Linked DNA regions of Drosophila melanogaster. The protein of the gene in region 2 purifies or fractionates together with the protein of the main gene of each other region. This does not show direct contact. Each region holds a gene or a part of one and is shown on either strand. Other genes may lie near its edges. The genes, in order: capu and mon2.

Region 1 (5,159 bases), 4.2 Mb from region 2:
CCGCATAATGGTCAAAAGTGTGATATTTTCTGGATTGCTATCGCGATTCATATAGCAGTGACACCTCACCGACACAGGGACTCACCCACACCGATACCTTCGCACACACACACACACACACACACACACAAACGCGCCGAGGGAAAGACAGAGACAGATAGACAGTTGGGGAACATTCGCATCGGACACCGTTTGCAGAGCTGCAACTTTAATTGCTTTGGTGGTTTGTGCCAAATTAGATTCTGCGGTTTTGTCGCGTCGCCATTCCGGTAATCGAGGGTGTACTGTACAACGGGGGTCAGAGTGTGATGGGCAAAGTGGGGTATGCGGGATGGTGTCTTGGCCATGGCCTTTTCCCCAAACTCCGTCGAGCTGAAGCCAAAAGCTGACGCTGACGCCCATCAATTAAACTTGTCAATGAGAATGCGATGCAACAGCAGGAACAGCAGAAATAGCGACAAGAACCCGGGGAATAAGAACTAATGGTGACGGTATGGGGGACTTGGAGCTTAGAACAAGGGTTATTGAAGGGAGCTCGAAACCAAACTAAATCGACTGAAAGTTAACTACATTTCACCCGCTTCGCTGGCATTCAAATTAGGTTTCTGTTCGAGACGTGTATATTGGTAATTTGATTGGAGTTTTAGAAATTGAATTCTAGCATGTTTCAAGAAATAATTATCGGCGATGCCACGGAAATCCACGGAACTCTGTATATGAGTTGTGCCAAGAAGAAATGTTTAAATTGTTTTTGTTTATAAAAACTTCTTCTTAAAGGTCACTTGAATATTTAAATTTGCCACAGGCACCTGAAAATACTTCCAAATGCAATCAGCATGGTCCCAGGTATAAGTGGCTTTACATACGCAAGTCGTGCAAATATTATTCCACTTTCCGTTGAATTTGGAATATTTGCAAAAGAATCTAAGGAAAAATGCCTGGCGTCTTTCGAAATTTCCATTTCTCGAAAGCCGCCGGCCATTGACATGACTCTGCGGACTTATCCTGTTGTTCGGTCCTGTCGTTATGGACTCTGTCCTATCTACTATCTTAACAATTGTGCGCACCAAGAAATTGATTTATTTTTGTTTACGCCAAAACAGCAAAAAGTTTACCACATTTTCTGCTCCTTCTCTCCAACTTGCCGTTGGCCAAGTTTTAGTTGGCTTATTGCGTTTGCACTGAAAATCAGAAGTATGTTTCTCAGGATTATTCAATATTTTTCTAACAACTACTTGGCATTTAATTTCTGATATTCCCACGAGCTAAGTAGAATTTTTATTTAATACCTTTAAAGAAGTATATTTAATAGTACAAATTAGACCTAATTATCTTCTCTCTGTGCAGTGCTTTGTTATCCGCTGCTTGGGAACAGTCGGTCTAATCCTAATGCTCCCTAATTACATTGGCCAGCAAGTCAACACAGTCTAGGCCAAGTTTCCCCGCTGCCTATTTGAGTTGGTCATGTCGCTATCTGCTTTCCAGCCCTCTTATCATTTTTTAGACCCATCTTAAAGACACTCCTAATTATTGGCCCTCTGGCGCACAATGCGGCCAGTGAACTGGCTGTTCTGGATTTCTTTTTTTTTTGCCGTTGAGCCCTGTTTATGTGGTTCGACGACACCTGGCGACATCAATTAGGGGGCAGGAATGAGCTCTTCGAAATGGAAAATCGTGGGAAAGTGGCGCCTCATACTGGCCGACAAATGTCAAGATGGCTGCAAATCTCTTTTGCTCTGAAAATCTGAGGTGTTGATAAAGGTGCGATTGAAAAGTTTGATCAATGATACTATTTAAGATTGAAAAGGGTTTCTCGTTATATATTTAGGAAGCAATTTTTCACACTTATTTTTATTTAGTTTTTAATCTCTTACAGTGCCTGCATAATTTGTATGCTTTTTATGCGCAAACATACAGCGCCGCAGCTTAACAAGCATTTTTTTATTTATTTCCCTCATATAAAGAATAATTTTTTTTCCTTCTTCCGCACTGTGGAAATTTATGAAGGGCCCTCGAAATGGCCTACGACCTCTATTCTGCCCCCAAACACATTCCCCAACCCCCGTCAGGTTGCAGCTGGGGGGTGAAAAAAAAAAACGTGGAAAACATCAGACGAGCAAAATGGCGAGCAATAAAAATAATTGCAAAATTCGAGATTCAGGTGGGGGCATGCGGCACGCTTAAAGTGGCACCTCTCTTAGCCACGCCCCCAAGTTTCCAAACCTCTCGCCCCTATTCCACACTTGGCAAACAATGGTGAACAGTGAAACAAAATGTTCATTGCAGTGTAAAATCTGCGAATCGCGGTTTTCTTTTTTTTCACTTTTCCCTCGGTTTGTGTGTGTTTTCGCGTTTTACAATCTGTTTCGCAACTCACGTAAAATATAAGGTAATTTGTGGAAATTTGATGTTTATCGTAAATTGTTTTTTATTTGCACAATGTCACCATTTTGCGGTTTGCCAGCAGCGCAAACTCACACACACACGCAGACTGACAAGCAACACACACACAGGCACGCATTGGTGGTCAGAGTTGCCAAGCAGTCAAAAAATAAAATTCCACAAAAATTGAGTTTTAAAGTTGCGAAATAATTGAATACACTTTTTAAAATCAAAACAAAAATCTGTTAAGTGCAATGATTGTTAAAAATACTAGTGTTGTGCCTAAGTTGTAGTAATTAAAAATAATATATATGAAGATTATTAATTATATATTATACATATATACTGGTCTTTAAATCTGATAAATCATTAATGGTCATTGTTGTTTAATGCTCAGATAGGCAAAATATATTCAGTTTCTGTAAGAATATCTGACAGTCGATCTACATTTTTCCACCTTAATTGTGCGCACCGCAAAAAGAGCATAGATAGATGGTAAAAACAATTGCAAACATTTTTCAATTTACCTGCATGGCGGAGAGGACTTTCCTCCTTTTGTTGTTTACTCCATTTTTTATTGCGTTTTTCTGTGGGCCCAATATTTTGGGCTTAATTGTGGCACGAATACCCCATTGCAGAAGGGCTAACAATGTGATGGCTATGACCATCATAGCCGGATAGAGCTCTTCCATTGGATACACAATCATCTTACCAAAACGATATACAACAAAAAAAAGGAAACGAAAAATTACACAAATTTTGACAGAATTTTGTATGCCTAACCCAATTGAACGGTGTAGACGAACTGCTTGTTTTAAATTTCATTTTATTTACTTTATAATTATCGTATATTCTGATTTACATTGTATAATATATCGTATATCATTACTGTCTAGGTTTACAATTAAAATTAGTTTAAACTTTTGGTTTCGCACTAAAAAGGTCAGTAAAATGTTTCAATCGCCTGGCGTGAACATTTCTGTTCTCTCGGTTCTTTTTTTTTTTAAAAGCAGATTTAATAGTTTACATTTAGTTTGAGTAAAAATTATAGAACGAAAATGGACAGTTTAATATAGTCGCAGACTTAGACTAAAGTTATTGGCTATTTTGATCATATTTGGTTTTGGATTACCAGTACATCTTTGTTTATATCTAGGTGGATACTTGAAAAATGCGTGGGTGGTCTGAGTTTGTTCGGGGACTAAATAAAACTCCTTAACTATTTTTAAAACTATTTTTTTATTATACATAGTTAAAAGTAAGATCATTAATTAAATAAGAAATACCATTTATAGATGTATCTTACTCAACGCCACAGTAACCCATTCATAAAAATGCAGATATTATTCACTATTCTAATAAATATTTTCGATTATGTTTTAAACACATTTATTTCAAATTAAATTTCTAAACTCTTTGGTTTACTCTGTTTATCTATTTACAATGTCCTTAAATCTTTAATATCCATTAAATAGTTTTTATCGCTAAGAGAAATTTATGTAACCTTCATTCAAAAACGAAATTATTTTATTTTACTAAATTCCTTGCTTCCGCTTGCAATTATTCAAATAAAATACTGATACATTTTTCATTTTTAATGCTCACATATTACGTTTTTATTTTGTTTGTTAAAAGTATCAATTATGTGGATTTATTACTCAAATATTTCATAACAGAGCTAAACAAGTATTGGATTAAAGATAATTCCCCCTTCTTTTATACTTTGCTGTGCAATTAAATATTTTGTGTATTTTTACAATATCACTGAGTGCTCAAGGGTTTTACTAACAATCGAAAGCAAGCAAAGAATTCTGTACAACTGATTGTTTTTACAACCCATTTCGATTTTATAATTTTAGAGCGAAAAAAGAAAGCAAAAAGGAATTTGTATCATTTTTGTTTCATCCGCAAGTTGGGAGAAAGTTTTGCTATAGTTGGCTGATGATTTTTCGGTAATCACCTTTCACAAATGAAGGTGAAAAGTAAATAAAAGTATTTGTATTGAACTTTTCACCCAGTTGTAGTTTACAAAATCGGTTTTAAGCTTCCCGCAGTTTAAAATTTAATTCGAATTCGTTTTGATGTCTGTTGATTATTCCATTTGCCGGCTATTATGATTTTATTTTAAAGATTTTCTCTTTTTGCTAAAAGATACTGTTTCTATTTGAATTTCCATATTTTTGCGGTCTTGTATGACGCTGTGTAGATATTTTTTTTGTTAGCCTATTTTTATGTAAATGCAACTCACTTGGACTTTTGACTGGCAGTACTAAATTTTCAAGTTTTTTTTTTAGCAGTTGCAATTTAATGACTCCATGTTCTACTATTTACAGATTGCACAGTAAATAAATTGATATTGTGTGCTCTGATTTTGCCGAGCTGAATTGCACGGAGCTCTTTGTGCAATGGCAAATTAATTTGCAAATTTACACAATCTAATTTTAGGTCACCGAGGGACCCAGACGACCAATTGTTAATTTGTAATTACAATTTTTGCATTATTATTGCTTGCCGACAATGCGAACAATTGAAATTAGCAGCGCAATTAGTCGAACCGAGCAAACAAATATTCGTTCCAATTTAATGCCCCAATGGAGACAAAAGCTAATGAGGAGTCGAAAAACTTTTGCCAACCTTTCCCCTTTTTCGCATTGTGTCGAAGTTTGATTTTTATTGGTCATGTTTATTTTGCATTTTGGGCTGACTGGGCGGAAAAGCAATTAAATGAACATTTTGTCTCTTTTATTTGATTTAAACGAGAACAATTTCCATATTTA
Region 2 (7,799 bases):
TAACATTGGACACAATCGTATGTAAGTCGTGTATATTTTACCCTTTGATGCTGGCGCTTTTTTCATGGATACCACAAGTGTTGCAATGGCTTTTAGCACAAACGATATCTCTGATAGCCGGAACCTGACAACAAAGTAATTTACATGAGTCATATGAGTATTCCAGGATTATTTTTAATCTAATCGTACCTTGGAAGCGGACACTTTCCGCTTTGTCTCTCATCGTCGTTAAACCGTTTGAGCACCTCTTGGAATCGATGCAACAGGGCGGTGACTGCTAGTCTGCCGGCAAAGTCCTTGCCACCTGCTCCCGCGGCCCCAGCAGTCAACACATTGGCGTTGAGACGATTGTTGTTGGTGTTGGCATGGTCCTCTAGCAGCGAGAACTGCAGAAGGGTCTCGAAACACGTTTTGGCAAAAATCTCACGCAGCTTCCAGTCGGATTCGTAGCAAATGTTCGTGTCTGAGGCGGAGTGTATAGATCCCTTGTTCAGCAGCACTACGATCTGCATGATAAACTGGTGTGGCATTTCGTGCGAGTGAGGCAACACCTCGTCCCTCAGCAGCTCAATAACCTGACAATCGATCGTTTCATCCAGCACGATCTCCTCGAGACCGCGATCCTCGATGGTGCACACACTCGCCGGAAACAGGAACTTGTCCAGGGTATCGGCCAAATCGTCCCACAAGCTTGCGAAATGTTGCGGCTTAGCTCGCGCCACCTTGAGACCAGTATGCAGCACGCTAATCAGACTGGAAATGGCCAGCTTCCATGTGCTGGAGGAAAGGCATTTGTACTTCATCGCCAGCGGCGTGCGCAGAGCCTTGACGATGTCATGCAGAATCTGCTCCTGCACAACCGAATCCTCGGTGGCCGTGGTCTGGTAAAGCTTCACGCAAATACTGATTGACTTCTCACCGAAAGGTATGTAGTTCATGCTGACCACCTCAACGGAGGCATTGTTGGCATAGTGTCCCGAGGACTTCGCATACTTGTGCTCCACACTCTGCTGAAATGTGGGCGGTGCGCAAGCGAATTTACTAAAGATCAGCAACTGCCGGAAAATGGCAGGGATAAGCTGGCTGATGTGGGAATCGGGTTTTGTCGCCTCCTATTCAAAGATTATTAATTATATATTATAATGGATTGTCTTGTAAATGCTTGCCTTCTGTATTAGTTCCATGCAATCGAGAATGCCATCGTGTAGCGGCGTCAGCAGGGTGTCCGACACAGTGGACATGATGTAGGGAACCGCATCGGTCTGGACGGGAATGCACACAGCGTTCGTCAGTACCGTACAGAATTTGTCAAAGTCTGCGGCAGTAAATCTGAAAACAATTCAAATATAAATTAATCGTTTTGAAAAAAATAGCTAAACGATATTAAACATAGCAAATGTATAAATTGATCAATTTAAAATATATTATATTTTTGGGGAATCTATGACAATGCGTTCTTCCTAAGTAGGTGTGTCTACTAACTTGACTTGAATGTGCTGAAAAATGGCGGGAAAGATTTGGATCAGGGCGGTGAGGAAGGCCTGACTGGGAATGTAAAAGTCCTCCTGAGTTTCGGCGCCATTGCTATTTTGCTGCTGCAACTTCGCTGACGTCGATGTGGACATTTTGGTGCTCTCCATGCCAATGCTAAGCCAAATGTTCCAAGCAATCTGCTCAAAAGTAGGAAAGACAAAAGTTCATTTAGTATAAATAAACAAAAGACAACCACTTTGGTTGACAGCTATCTTAATCTCTAAACTACTCACAGTCCAAATTTCCTCGTCCTGCTCCTGTGCCGTCTGAGGATCCTTCAATGCCCTCTCTGTTCGCTCTGCTGTGTTGTGGTACATGATCTCCTGTAGAGACTTCAGAGCAGCAAGTGAAACTTCACCATTTTTGCTCAACGCAGCATTCTGGATGAACTCTAGAATTAGTGACCAGGCTCGCTCAAAATCACCCAGCATCTGAAGCAGCTCCCGTTTTGTATTGAACACCCTGCAGACGCCCGATAGAGTCAGCACCTGCGTTTCTGCCCACTGCTTTTGGGCGGTGTTGCGCGAGTGATGGATAAGAATGTTGCCACTGGCGTCCACCTTCTCGTTGCTGGCCGAGCTGCTCAGAGCACGCACGTTGTCCAGCAGCGGGAAGAGAACCTGCCAGACCAGCGCCTGCCACGTGGGCGGATTAAGCAGGCTGCCGTGGGCGGAGATGGTGGAGAAGAGCGTCTGGCCGGCCGATTTACGCACCGCCGGACGCAGATCCACACACAGCTCGCCCAGCTTGGCGTACAAGCACATCCACAACTTATCGAACTGCGGCATCTTCACTGTGCCTGGGAAGTCGGGCAGAATGGACACATCCTGCAGCTGAGTGGACATTAGCTTGTCTTGGTTTTGATTAAAGAAGTCTGAAATATTCCACTGCAATCAAAGTACAAAATTAAAGTAACTCAATAATAATAATACTATGTATGCAACAGTTTATCTAATATGTATAACATAGCTTACCATGAGACCGATAGCCGTCAAAGAAATGTTCAATTCCTGGGTCTGGGAGCCGAACTTAGCAGCAGTGCTGATGCACAGCGGCAGACACCGCCATGGCATTACGGTCAGGAAATCTGTGATAACCAACTGCAGGCATTGGAATGCTGTGCGAATTAACGGCTCGCCATGGTGCTCGTTTACAGCACCAATGATCTCAATAATGGCTGGCCAGCCAAACGAGAGGATTTCCCCTGCAGTGTTTAGGATCTGAAGGACGCAATCCAGCTGTCGCTGACGTACATCTGCGTGCAGGACAGTAGACAACTCAGAGAGTGGACTCAGCAGCATTGTTTGTAGTTCCTAAACGTGAAAGGGGTAAATTTGCATTTTGTTGTGGTACTATTTCTTTGAAACACTTTTCAGTGACGTTCTACAATAATTGTTAAAGAAATACAGAGGGGTAATCTTACCATGTTCTCCTTGAGGGGCGTTTTGTGCTTGAACTGTAGGGCAGACTTCACCAGGTAGGTAATGGCTTCCACGCCCCACTCCCGCATTCGAATATGTCGATGTTGGCACACCTCCAGCAGGTGATTTGTAAGTGGTCGCCACAATACCTTTATGCGGGGCATGTTTACTAGGCCAGTCTCTAGCAGTTTGGCTACCGCAAAAAGCGATGGTTCCCGATTGGCATAAGCAAGTTCCATGGCCTCGTGGGAGAGCTTGCACAATGCATCGATTAAATGATGCAGCGCTACATCGTCCAGATATTGACTGGACTCGAACAGCTGGCTAAGCATTTGTGACAGGACCGGAAGATCAGCCATCACTGCCGTTTGAATTCCCACATTAGCCTCTACAGCTGGCTTTGGCATGGCCTGAAGACTGCCTCCGGTAGAAGGTTTCAGCCCCAAGATCCACACTAGATGCTGCAGCGTCTGCAGCACAATATGCCAGGAGGTACCCAAAATCCCACCATTGTTGTGCGCTAGGAAAAGAATAGCTCGCATACACTGTAGATTCTTGTTAGTCAGCATCACGGGCGCTTGCATCACGCTGTGGGGCAGCGATGCCGATGGCAGTGGTGTACCCACCGCTACGATCTGGGGTCGGAAGTCTCCTGCATCGCCACTACAGCTATTGATGAACTGGCTGCTTAGATCTTGACTACCACTGCGCGTGTGACCTGTAACGGATAGGTTTGGATAAATAAATACACAATAAATAATAAATACAATTAAGAACTTACATCTCAAGTCACCATCCGACTGTGTGGTATTGGCAAATATGGACATGGCATAGTGGGGCGGAAAGGAGGCGCGGCACATGGCCATTATAAAGGCGTCTCGGGGCTGCAGTTGCTCCAGCATTCCGCACAGAGCTGCATAATTTTGCATAGCCTTGAGGATGTTCTCCGTGGTGGCCTCGTCAATCGACGTCTCAACCAACGGAATAAAAGCGCTGAGCAGGGCAGACCAGCTGGAATTCACCAGTTGGAGGCACAGTGGCTTGTGCTCCTCCTCAGTGATCACTGCCGTATTGTGGCTGGGATGAAGCTCCGGGGTTCGCTGAATGACACCTCCAATCGATCGAGTCATATCCAGTAGAATAGCATGCCCAACCGAGATGCCATAACTGTCGGGAATATTCGATGCATCTATCTTATCCAACATTTCCAAGCTGAAAAATAAAATTATAAATAAGATTTTATACAAAAAAGCTGATATTTCAACTTACTAAACGGCCTTTGAGACGCCTGGCGCATATGTGGCTACCAAGGGAAGGTAAGCACCTCGAAACATGAAGCCACATTGATTGCTTCCCGACATGGCTGTCAGTGAATTGGCGACTCCATTCTGCTGGCCATTCAGCATGGCCGATGCATTGATCAGGGAATATCGAATGTAGCTGCCCATGGCAGCAATCATGTCATGCACAATATTGGTTGCATGATTTTTTAAGTCGTACGACTTGCAGAAGAATGCAATCAGTGAAGAGCGCGTCACCAGCTTATGGATAACCTCGAGGGCCAGGGCTCGCTGCCAAGCTGGCTTATCCGGATCCAAGAACTTGATAATCAGCGACAGAAAGATCTCACACTCTGTTACCAGTATAGTGTGGTATTTTTGTATAAGTATAGCCACGAGGCGCAGCAAACGCATGCTAATTGGGAAATAGGGTTTCTCGGCCGGCACAGGAGCGTTTCCATTGCTTGGTGCAGGCAGCTGGCGATGCTTGACGTTTGGCGAGAAGAGCTTTATGACCAAGGCACAGACTCGTTCCTTAAGTAGCAGTCGAAAGTCGTTACTCTATTGAAAAAAAAAGGATTTAATTAATATATAAATAAAACTGATCTTTTGGAACTCTGAAATTTCAGACTTGCTTTTGCTTATTTTCTGATCTAAACTCCTATAGAAACAGCACAATTGTTTAAATCGAAAGACTTGAAAGTCGATTCGTCGTCTAGGCCGATTTGTAAACATACCTCGTGAAACACGGCACTGAAGTTGGTCAGCACGGCCTCAAGTAACTCCAGACCAAAGGTGCGCGTCATTTCGGTCATGCCCAACAGCCAGTAGGGCTGATCCGCGTTTACCAACTGCACAAGATCCTGAAATAGCAGGAATGCATCCGAAGCAAAGGTCTGCACATCCTGATTTCCGCCCTCTCCCTCAGCTGGCGAACCACTGGACTGTTGCTGCTGGAGGCTGGAAACCGAGTCTTTCTCCAGGTACACTCGCTCAAACACCAGGGACACCAGCTGCCGGATGGTGGCACCGGCCGTATTCACAATTGTGGGATTTTTGGCGTAGTGCAGGCGAAAGCACAGAACTAAGGCCTTGGCCAATGTGTCGCCGTGCACCACCGTATTGGTGGTCAGCAAAAGAGTTACTGTTTGCAGCACTTTGACTTCCTCGATGTTGTTCTCCATTAGGGTCCACAGTGCGTTGGTGATGTATAGGGCGCCCTTCTGGTCCACCACCTGCTGGGTGATGAGCCGCTGCATCATGCCTAAGCAAAACTGGAAAAAAGATAGGAAAGCAATTAGATATATTTACTATATAAATGGCTGCTCTTACCTTGATGATCTTGAGGTCCTTGGTCTCGCATCCCTGCACCAGCGGATAGAGTATCTGGTTGACGGTGTAGTACACCGAGTTTTGCTGGCTGCTGCCAGCTGTGCAGAGCTTGGAAATGGCCTCCTCGCACGCCTGATTGGGAATTGGAAACGTTAGAGAGTTAATTTGCAGGTGGAAATGTCATAAAAACAATTTCATATGCGCTGGCTATCAATTTCATAATTGCGTAGAGCAAGCACAGGTGGAACCAGAGCAAACCACCCCCCGCCCACCGACGTCCTTCCACCACCACCCAACTGGGTTGTTGGGTGACACACACTCGTGTGTCGGCGGATAAGTGCCGCAATTAGACAACCACGGCCGTGAATCACACGTCAGCAGGACTCACCTCCTTGATCTGAGGATACTTCTTCTTGGTCTCCAGCGAGAGGGTCTTGAAATCCGCCTGCAGGGCCTCCACAAACTTGTGCACGTCCTGGCCACCGCACCCGCCCCCGCCCACAAACGACATGGTCACTGGTTGTACTCGCTCCTGGTCACTTGACACTCACTGCACCGGATGCGTGCGACATTTAAGTACTGCGACCGATACACGCATATGCTACGCAACCACTTTGGACTCGAGAAAATGCAATAATAATGCAGCGCACAATGAAAGCCGTGAAAAAATTGTGATTCGTTTTGACAGCTGACGTACACAGTGCAGAGTTGCTAGTGATTGGCAACGCGAGCTGGCCATGTTAACTAACATAAGCAGAACCATCATCAACAGTGGCCTGAAAAGCGCCCTTAACAGAGCAGGAGTTTCGGTGAAATTTTGTGGGTCGCCGGAAACGGAAAATAAAGATAATGGCAAGGAAGAAGTATCTTTACCAGGATGAGGCCCTAATCCCAAAAGCCATATACGTTAAATTCCATAAATACAACATCCAAAAAGGATAAGATAAGACTAAAAAATAATCTGTCAAGTATGCTTTTCATGTTTTGCCTATTTAAGCGAACTTTATAAACATGACTTTTGGGTGCTTGGTTCAAATCCACCTTGTAGAGCGGTCACATTCCCGGAAAACTAGAACTAACTTATAGCCATGGCTGGCCGACTGCTGCGCTGCATCCTGATACTAATCCTTGTCAGCTTTACTGTCTTCACGTACGTTTCCAAAGTAGGGGTAATGGAAAAAGTCGACTATTTTACGACAGCGAAACCTGATGTAATGTCAAAAAATCCTGCAATACAGTTAGTGGGCGAAGCGATACGGCTAAGATCCTTTAGGGAGCCTATTAAAGATTTCGACGATGGATTCGCCGTTCAAATTTCAGGAAACAGCAGTGAAGGCAACAAGGATATCTATACAACTATTGATGGCAATATAAATGTTGCAGATTCTATTGCGGCAATTAGAAGCAGAAGAATTGATGAGGAAAAGCTCCATGGTGAGAACTATTTAATTATTCATTAGTCGACTCATATTGATGTTGTTACTTTGCTTTTCTTCAACAGATGACGGGCTAGACTCAAAAGATATTTTAGCAAAGAAATCAGTGGTATTGTATTCAATAGATACCGAAGTTCCTGTCCGAATGCCGCTTGTGAAAACTATCTACAAACCTGGTCACCTGGACAGTGAGATTGATATGGAAAGAATATGTCCGCAAAAAGGGTTATCGACGCAGTTGTTAGTTTTAATAACCTCATCCCTTCGGCATTCGGCAGCCAGAATGTCCATACGGCAGACTTGGATGCACTACGGCAGCAGAAGGGACGTGGGCATGGCATTTGTCCTGGGAAAAGGCAAAAACAAATCGGTGAAGAAGGCCATTGATCAGGAGGATTTTATGTACCAGGATCTGATAAGAGGACACTTCATAGACTCGTACAACAATCTCACTCTGAAGACCATTTCTCTGCTGGAATGGGCTGATCTTCACTGTCCGAAGGCTAAGTACGTTCTCAAGACGGACGATGACATGTTCATCAACGTGCCGAAGTTATTGACCCTCATTAGCACGCTTAAAGCCAATAGAACGATCTACGGACGACGGGCCGAAAATTGGAAACCCATTCGAAACAGGTGGTCTAAATATCACATATCCAACGCTCAGTATGGAAAGCCTACCTTTCCCTACTTCACCACCGGACCCGCCTACTTGCTCACTGGTGACATTGTTCACGCTCTGTATGTCCAATCCCTGAATACTGCATTCTTAAAGCTGGAAGATGTCTTCACCACGG

What was found.
Region 1: the proteins of mon2 (region 2) and capu purify together in Drosophila melanogaster (affinity purification with western blotting, with the first as the bait; one study listed by BioGRID). This does not show direct contact.

The regions. Positions count from the first base shown.
Region 1 is NT_033779.5:3,899,686-3,904,844, forward strand, and holds the start of capu (cappuccino), read right to left. Parts: upstream 3,176-5,159; 5' UTR 2,910-3,175; intron 1-2,909. UniProt on the Drosophila melanogaster protein: Acts as an actin nucleation factor and promotes assembly of actin filaments together with spir. May play a role in intracellular vesicle transport along actin fibers, providing a novel link between actin cytoskeleton dynamics and intracellular transport.
Region 2 is NT_033779.5:8,117,738-8,125,536, forward strand, and holds the start of mon2 (monensin sensitivity 2), read right to left. Parts: upstream 6,274-7,799; 5' UTR 6,078-6,273; coding exon 5,955-6,077; intron 5,699-5,954; coding exon 5,567-5,698; intron 5,509-5,566; coding exon 4,972-5,508; intron 4,796-4,971; coding exon 4,224-4,795; intron 4,167-4,223; coding exon 3,736-4,166; intron 3,673-3,735; coding exon 2,957-3,672; intron 2,847-2,956; coding exon 2,508-2,846; intron 2,421-2,507; coding exon 1,767-2,420; intron 1,671-1,766; coding exon 1,483-1,670; intron 1,330-1,482; coding exon 1,167-1,329; intron 1,113-1,166; coding exon 190-1,112; intron 125-189; coding exon 42-124; intron 1-41. Other genes in the region: CG8673 (uncharacterized protein), read left to right, coding at 6,655-7,000, 7,068-7,799. UniProt on the Drosophila melanogaster protein: May be required for traffic between late Golgi and early endosomes.